2 linked regions of the Macaca mulatta genome follow. The protein of the gene in region 1 interacts with the protein of each later gene in a biochemical or structural test. Links are inferred from orthologs where the notes say so. Each region holds a gene or a part of one and is shown on either strand. Other genes may lie near its edges.

Region 1 (4,081 bases):
CTATCCTCAGCTTTATACACGAGAAAAAATGAAATACAGAAAAAAATGACTTGCCCAAGGTCACTCCGTTAACAAACGGCAAAACCTGGAACAAACCTAGACACTCTGACTTCTGAACCCAAACACGTAAACCACCTCATGTTAAAGGAAGGCATAAATCTTTAGAGAATGCATTACTGCCACCACCATCTGAGTCTTTCATTCCCTCTCCCTCTTCCTCCCTCCCTCCCTCTCCACTCCCTTTCCCTCTTCCCCTTTCTTCCTTCTCCCTTCTCTCACTTCCTTCTTTCTTCTCTCCCTTTTTCCTTTCTTTCTTTTTTGACTCCAAAGTCAAAACTATTTCGTTACTACTGTCAACTTAAAGCCTCAGGTTATGCTTTCAAGACTTGACTTCTTTTTTATGTTTATTTCACATAGCAGAGTATATGCTAAAGTGAATAGAATATTTAGTGGCTTCATGAACTGATGAAATGGGCTATTTGCTGTCCATGTTTTGTTTTTATTTCCCGTTCATTTTCTCCTCCCATCCTACTTATACACTTTCCAGTTTCTCCTCTCCCCAGTCCCCTACACCTATGCTGCTTCTGAACAACCTCTGTGGAACCTGTTATCTTGTTTTTTTTTTTTTTTTGAGACGGAGTTTTGCTCTTGTCGCCCAGGCTGGAGTACAATCTCAGCTCACTGCAACCTCCACCTCCTGGGTTCAAGTGATTCTCCTGCCTCAGCCTCCCAAGTAGCTGGGATTACAGGCGCCCACCATCATGCCTGGCTAATTTTTGCATTTTTAGTAGAGACGGGATTTCATCACGTTGGCCAGGCTGATCTCAAACTTCTGACCTCAGGTGATCCATCCGCCTCGGCCTCCCAAAGTGCTGGGATTACGAATGCGAACCACCATGCCCAACCTATCTTTAAAATATTCCCTGAAAAAAAAAATAACGCCAAGTTCAGCAGCCTACAGAAGAGTATTAGGACACATAGGGAAGCACCTTAATGCCATGGGAAAATATCCTGAAGTTTTAATATGCCATACCAGAAGGGGGAACAAAGAATTACAACAGAGAAGCATTTCTCAAACTGTTTGGAGTGAGAGATTAATGAATTTGCTCAGGGGAAAAACGATGCTCCAGTCAAATAGGTTTGTTAAACCTTGAATACTCTATGTCTCTCCCCCTAGAGAATACCAATATACATTAGTATATAAAAGGTTCTGAGAAGTCCCTGTAATAAAGAAACCTGTTACACATCTACACATCACCTTAGCACCTCACACTCACTTGACCATGGCACCCTTCTCACCATTCCATTCCAAACACTTATTTGTACCTTTCAGTTTCAGAAAACAAAGTTCAAATCATCTTTAAATCAAAAACGTACTATTTTGCCTTTACAGACTCAAAATCAGACCCTGAACTCCTGTCAAAAAGGAAAAAAAAAGCCCCCAACCAAGCCAACAATGCCAACTTCAAAAGCCTTCAGAGTAGGAATCTGCCTGTACCTCACTGATACATCAACTATAATATCAAACTAGAAGCTTTGCACAAAATCTAAGGAGAAGGGTCTTACACATCTGTGTGCCAGGTGGGCAATTCCATGAGAGGGGAACATTGTAGTATAACTTAACTTGACAACTATCCCTGTGGGCATTATTTTTTCACAACATTTAAACTATCGAGGGTATCACTACTTTAATCTTGCATTTGACCACCACAAAGCTCATTTACATGGCCTCTTAAACAAACATGGCCAGAGCACACAGTCCTACATTTCACTTCAGCTTCACCACCCCAGATGACTTTTGTACATAGGCCCGGCCATGATGTGAGTGAAGCAGCTGGAGGCAGAGGAATGGTGGCCTGGCTGATTAGGAAGACAATGTATCATAATAAATCTTGGGCAGAGAGGAAAACTGAATGGACTCACCATACACAACCAGAGAGACCACGTGACTCTGCTTCTCCTTTGAAATGGGATTGGTAAGGATGACAGTGTAATTTCCTGTGTCTCTTTCGCTCACTTCCATGATCGTCAGTACGTGCCCCACTTTAACTGTGTGATTGGACTCAAGGGGTATTCCATTTTTATACCTATGAAAAAGAATTCTCAGGAATTAGTACAGTCGAAGGATTTGCTCTCACATGAAATGATGCTTTGTGTTTATTTCTAGTAGTTACCATTTTATTTCTGGGGGCGGGTAACCAAGGTACTTCACAGGGATTCTGACACGCTCCCCCACCGTGGCTTCCACCAGAGATTCCATGCCACTTCCAAAAGCAACAAAAGGTTTTTCTGCAAGAAATTTTTTTTTAAAGGTCAGCTTATTGTAAATGGTCGTTTGGTTTAGTTTTTCATTTCAAGTGAAACATCAAAAACATTGAGGGTCTGAGTAGCTGCAGTTCCAAGATTCCATGTACTACCTTTTAGTGGGTCACATTTCAGCTTCTCCCACACCTCCCGTGTTTCTCCCACACCTCCTGTGCTTGCATTTGCTTTTCTCTCCCCACTAGTGCACTCCCATAAGCCTAGTGATTGCTCAAGTCTCAACTCAAACACTTGCTCCTCTGTGCAGCTTTCTCTAAGTCCCCCAGAGATGCTTGGGTGCTCCTTCTCCTCTGCTCCCAAGACACACTCCACACACCTCTTCCACCATGTGTTAATAGGCCCGAGGACTCAGTCTTCAGACGTCCTCTTTATTTACACCTTCCTCTAGCCTCAAGTTTAAAGTAGCATTCACATACCTCCTAAATATGTGCCTTCTGCCCTGACTCCTCTGGGTTCCAGGTTGATATATTAAACATTTCCACTTGGATGTTTCATAGGCATCTCCAGAGAAACATATCTAACACTGTTTCCCTAAATTTCACTGCCTCCTCGATCTTTGCCATCTCAGTAAATACCACCACCATTTACTCAGTTGCTCATGCTAACACTTGGGTCATCTTCCACTCTTTTTCCCTTATACTCCACAACCAGTGAATTGATCAGCAGACCCTGTTGACTCTACCTTTGAAATATATCCAGAAGCAGATCACTTCTCACTATCTCTACCTCAACTACCCTTGTCCAAGCCACTCCTCAACTCTCACCTGGATAAACGTAATTAGCCTCCCAACTAACCTCCTTGTTTCTGCCCCTATTTCCCTGAAGTATCCTGGAGAACAAGAGTACTTCTATCAAAACATAAGCCAGAGCACGTCTCTCTCTGTGTATTTTGGCAAGTGCATCTTGGCAAGTGAAATAATTTGAATAAATTTAGGACACTTAGTGATTTCTATTTTGTTCATTCAGAAGAAACTTTCAAGTTCTTGCTAGGGAGGCCACATGACCTAGAGGTCAAGAGCATAGCTTTGTAGTCAGGAACTTGAGTTCCAATCTCAACTACTAAGATGAGATGAGCTAATAAAGTAAGGGCTCACTAAATCATACTTGTTGTAGTTGTTGCCACTTTTATGATTACAACTCTAATAAATAGTATTATCTAAGGTATTTTTACAATTCCACTTTACTGATGCATTCTCATGATATAAAATCCAAAATCCTTTCCAAGGCTTATAAGTAGGATGCCACACAAATTACCATGTAAACTCAGACATTTATGTAAATGAAAGAGAATTAACAAAAAATTAAGGTGATTTACTCAAAGCCAGTTCAATTTAATTCCAGTTCAATTACAGTTGACCCTTAAACAACATAAATTTGAACTACATGAGTCCACTTATAAGCAGATTTTCTTCCACCTCTGTCACCCCTGAGACAGCAAAACCACTGCCTTCTCTTCCCACTTTTCCTCAGCCTTCTCAATGTGAAGACAAGGATGGAGACCTTTATGATGATCCACTTACACTTAATGAGCAGTAAATATATTTTCTCTTCCTTATGATCTTCTTAATAACATTTTCTTTTCTCTAGCTTTATTATAAGAATACGGTATATAATACATATAACATATGAAATATGTGTTAATTGACTGTTTATGTAGCAGTAAGGCTTCCAGTCAACAGTAGGTCATTATTTACATTTTGTGGAAGTCAAAAGTTATACCTTGAATTTTTTTTTTTTTTTTTTTTTGAGAAGGCGTTTT
Region 2 (4,081 bases), on another chromosome or scaffold:
GTGGGAGGGTCTGGAGGCATCCAGGGGCTTAGCTGGGCCCAGGTGGGAGGGTCTGGGGGCCGAGGGTGTGGTAAGCTGGGCCCAGGTGGGAGGGTCTCGGGGCATCCGGGGGCTTAGCTGGGCCCAGGTGGGAGGGTCTCGGGCCCGAGGGCGTGGTAAGCTGGGCCCAGGTGGGAGGGTCTGGGGGCATCCGGGGGCTTAGCTGGGCCCAGGTGGGAGGGTCTCGGGCCTGAGGGTGTGGTAAGCTGGGCACAGGTGGGAGGGTCTGGGGGCCGAGGGGGTGGCAAGCTGGGCACAGGTGGGAGGGTCTGGGGGCATCCGGGGGCTTAGCTGGGCCCAGGTGGGAGGGTCTCGGGCCTGAGGGTGTGGTAAGCTGGGCACAGGTGGGAGGGTCTTGGGGCCGAGGGGGTGGCAAGCTGGGCACAGGTGGGAGGGTCTGGGGGCATCCAGGGGCTTAGCTGGGCCCAGGTGGGAGGGTCTGAGGGCATCCAGGGGCTTAGCTGGGCCCAGGTGGGAGGGTCTGGGGGCATCCAGGGGCTTAGCTGGGCCCAGGTGGGAGGGTCTCGGGCCCGGGGGCATCCAGGGGCCATCCGTGTTTATGAAGCTTTTCCAGATTGTTGCAGATGTTGTGTTTGACCAGCTACCATAGAATTGCAAAGTATCTTCCAGTGTATTTTTGAGACAGAGTCTGGCTCTGTCACCCAGGCTTGTGTGTAGTGGCAGGATCATGGCTCTCTGCAGCCTCGAACTCCTGGGCTCAGGCGGTCCCCCTGGCTCAGCCTCCTGAGTAGCCGGGACTACAGGTGGGAGCCACCGTCCCCAGCTAAGTCTGTGTAGAGATGGGGCCTTGCTGTGTTGCCCAGGCTGGTCCCGAGCTACTGGCCTCACGTGATCCTCCTGACTTGTTTTCCCAATCGTAATCCCAATCGTACGATTTCATCCATCATAAGATGCCCCCCCCATATATCATGACGTACGCACCTTACAAATGGTGATGTATTTGAGGGATAAATATGGTATTTTCAGGTTCTAATTTATTTGAGGGTGTACAAAGCACTTCTCAATTTACAAGGAATTTTGGGATCAAGTTACTGAATTACTTCAATTCTTCCCTCCCTTTCTTTCTCTCTCTTTTTTTTTTTTTGATGGAGTCTCACACTGTTGCCCTGGCTGGAGTGTAGTGGCACAATCTCAGCTCATTGCAACCTCCGCCTCCAGGGTTCAAGCGATTCTCCCGCCTCAGCCTCCTGAGTAGCCGGGATTAAAGGCTCCCACCACCACACCTGGCTAATTTTTCGTATTTTTTTAGTAGAGACGGGGTTTCACGACGTTGGCCAGGCTGGTCTCGAACTCCTGACCTCGTGATCCGCCCGCCTCGGCCTCCCAAAGTGCTGGGATTACAGGCATGAGCCACCGCGCCTGGCCTAATTGCTTCAATGCTGAGAGACACTCTCCCCGCCCCAGTTTTGACGTCTCTGGAGTCTGGATTTTGTTTTTTTTTTTTTTTTTTTTTTTTGAGACGGAGTCTCGCTCTGTTGCCCAGGCTGGAGTGCAGTGGCGCGATCTCAGCTCACTGCAAGCTCTGCCTCCTGGGTTCACGCCATTCTCCTGCCTCAGCCTCCTGAGTAGCTGGGACTACAGGCGCCCGCCACCGCGCCCGGCTAATTTTTTGTATTTTTAGTAGAGACGGGGTTTCACCGTGGTCTCGATCTCCTGACCTTGTGATCCACCCGCCTCGGCCTCCCAAAGTGCTGGGATTACAGGCGTGAGCCACCGCGCCCGGCTGGATTTTGTTTTAAAACCATCGATTGCATACTTGAACTGCATCATTATTTAACAGCGAGGTTTTTCTCCTCTGTCTGCTCCTGGTACCTGAAATCGTGGTGCATCTTACAGTTGCTCTGGGCCAGTGGGATTTAGTAATCTCCAGCTTCTAAAGCGTTTTAGGGTTTACAAAGCATTTTCCGATTTACAAGGAGTTCTAGGGTTTATGAAGCATTTTGAGCGTCTGAGGGCTACACAGGTTATTTCTTAGGTGAGGAGGTGCTGGAGGGTTCGGAGGCCTCTCAGACTGCAGGAGGCATTTTCAGCCGTCCGGCCGAACCCTCAGAGTGGCTCTTGGGCTGGTGCGAGCCTGGTCTCCGCGTGAAGCACACTGTGGGGGGCAGGGGTGGCACTTGTGCACCCCAGCCTGGGACAAAGCTGGAGAGGGGCAGAGCTTGGGCGAGAGGCGCCTATTCTCCCAGTTCCCGAGCCCCCTCAGACTGTTTCCGGTCCCCCCGCCGCCGCCTAGCCTCTAGCCTGGTGGGTGATGCCTCTGCTCTTTCCCAGGCCAGATTCCCTCTGTTAAATGGATCCCTGGGGTCAGACTGGCAGCCCCTAGACCTGGGGAAGCTTCAGAACGTCTACCAGTACCTTGTCGAAAGGCAGATTCCCAGCTCCTATTCCCAGTGCCATGGAAGGAGATAATTTTGCCGCAGGCCTAGGAATGTGCATTTGCCCCTGTTCCCCACGTGAAATGTGCACAGGGCCCCCAGCCTCACCCACGAACTCAGAGCAGCCGGGGACACGTCACCCATGATCTCAGAGCAGCCGGGGACACGTCACCTCCTGGGTGCTGCTCGGTCCCAGGCCCCTCCCGGCGCCCGCTGGTGGCCGCCTCCCGGGTGCTGCCGGGTTTGCGGACACACGGCTCCAATCTCTCATGGGGTCACCCTTCAGCCCCCAACAGGACGCGTGGCCCCAGAACCCGGCGGTTTCAGAGCCCGTGCCCACGTGTGGTTCTGGGATTCTGAGGCCGATCCTGTGGCTGGCGTCCCAGAATTCCCTGGTCCGGACACTCATCCACGCAGGCACCCTAGGGGCTCCCCGACAGGACCCCAGATCGCCGATCTCTGACTCCACGGGTCCAGGCCGGCTCCCGGGAGCTGATACCGAGGTCTGTCCTGCAGGTGCGGACGAAGGACGTGCTGTTTGAGAGCATCAGCCACCTGATCGACCACCACCTGCAGAACGGGCAGCCCATCGTGGCCGCCGAGAGCGAGCTGCACCTGCGCGGCGTCGTCTCCCGGGAGCCCTGAGCCAGGTGTGTGGCTGCCGCCGTGGGCCGCCGGCCTCGTCCCCTTTACCCGATTCTTTTCTAATTTGAAATTTGAGACCCGGTTCACATGCCGTGCCTTTCCCTCTAGAGGGCACGACTCAGGGGTGTTCAGCATCCAAGCTGTGCAACCATCTCTGTCGAGTTCCAGAACATTCTATCAGCCCCGAAAGGTGCCCTGTCCCCACCAGCCATCGCTCCCTGTCCCCTCCCCAGCCCCAACCCCCATACATCCGCCTCCTGTCTCCGTGGATGGGCCTGTCCCGGACATTTTCTAGAAATGGGATCACACGGTGTGGCCTTCTGGGTCTGGCGTCTCTCACGGAGCGTGACGTCCTCAAGGTGCCTGGTGCTGTGGCCTGGGTCAGAGCTTGGCTCCTGTTCACGGCTGGGTAATGTCCCACTGTGTGACGGGGCCACATTGTGTTTGTTCATCCGCTGATGGACGTTTTGGCCACCGTGAGCCTTTGTGTACAGGTTGTATGTGGACACGCGTCACTGGCCGTGGTGGGCACGTGCCCCAGAGTGGCCCTGTGCAGCCATGATGGTAACTGTGCAGCTGTGATTGGCTGGGATGGATGTCACCTGGTCTTTATGGACCCCTGCTGCGTGCTGGGTGTCCAGGCCTCCTTCCCGGAGAGGACGGTGGGCTGGGACAGGCAGGGGCTGGTGTGTGAACCCAGGCAGTGAGAAGCCCACACCTCAGGCCGGGCCGCAGAGCCCTGGGCCTCTACTTTTGGTGCGGGGCTGGGGGGAACCCGTGGCGGGGCATCGACGGGGGAGGGACAGGCAGGTCTGGGTGATTTCAGGGTCTCTCCTCTGGGGTGAGGTCGGGGCAGGAGAGGGTGCAGCTGTGGGGCTGGAGGGAGTGGAGGCTAAGAGCGGCGGGGGAGGAGGGAGGGCCAGCAGGGGGAGGGGGCCGTGGAATTTCCCCAAGGGCCGCGCTTCTGGGCCAGGTCGGGCTGCTCTCCTGTCCCCATGACA

What was found.
Region 2: the proteins of KDR (region 1) and SHC2 form a complex in vitro, tested with the Homo sapiens proteins (2 studies listed by BioGRID). The link is inferred for Macaca mulatta from reciprocal best matches to the Homo sapiens genes KDR and SHC2.

Annotation. Positions count from the first base shown.
Region 1 is NC_133410.1:78,388,759-78,392,839, reverse strand, and holds part of KDR (vascular endothelial growth factor receptor 2), read right to left. Parts: intron 2,290-4,081; coding exon 2,175-2,289; intron 2,088-2,174; coding exon 1,924-2,087; intron 1-1,923. UniProt on the Homo sapiens protein: Tyrosine-protein kinase that acts as a cell-surface receptor for VEGFA, VEGFC and VEGFD. Plays an essential role in the regulation of angiogenesis, vascular development, vascular permeability, and embryonic hematopoiesis.
Region 2 is NC_133424.1:1,068,029-1,072,109, reverse strand, and holds part of SHC2 (SHC-transforming protein 2), read left to right. Parts: intron 1-2,951; coding exon 2,952-3,080; 3' UTR 3,081-3,085; intron 3,086-4,081. UniProt on the Homo sapiens protein: Signaling adapter that couples activated growth factor receptors to signaling pathway in neurons. Involved in the signal transduction pathways of neurotrophin-activated Trk receptors in cortical neurons.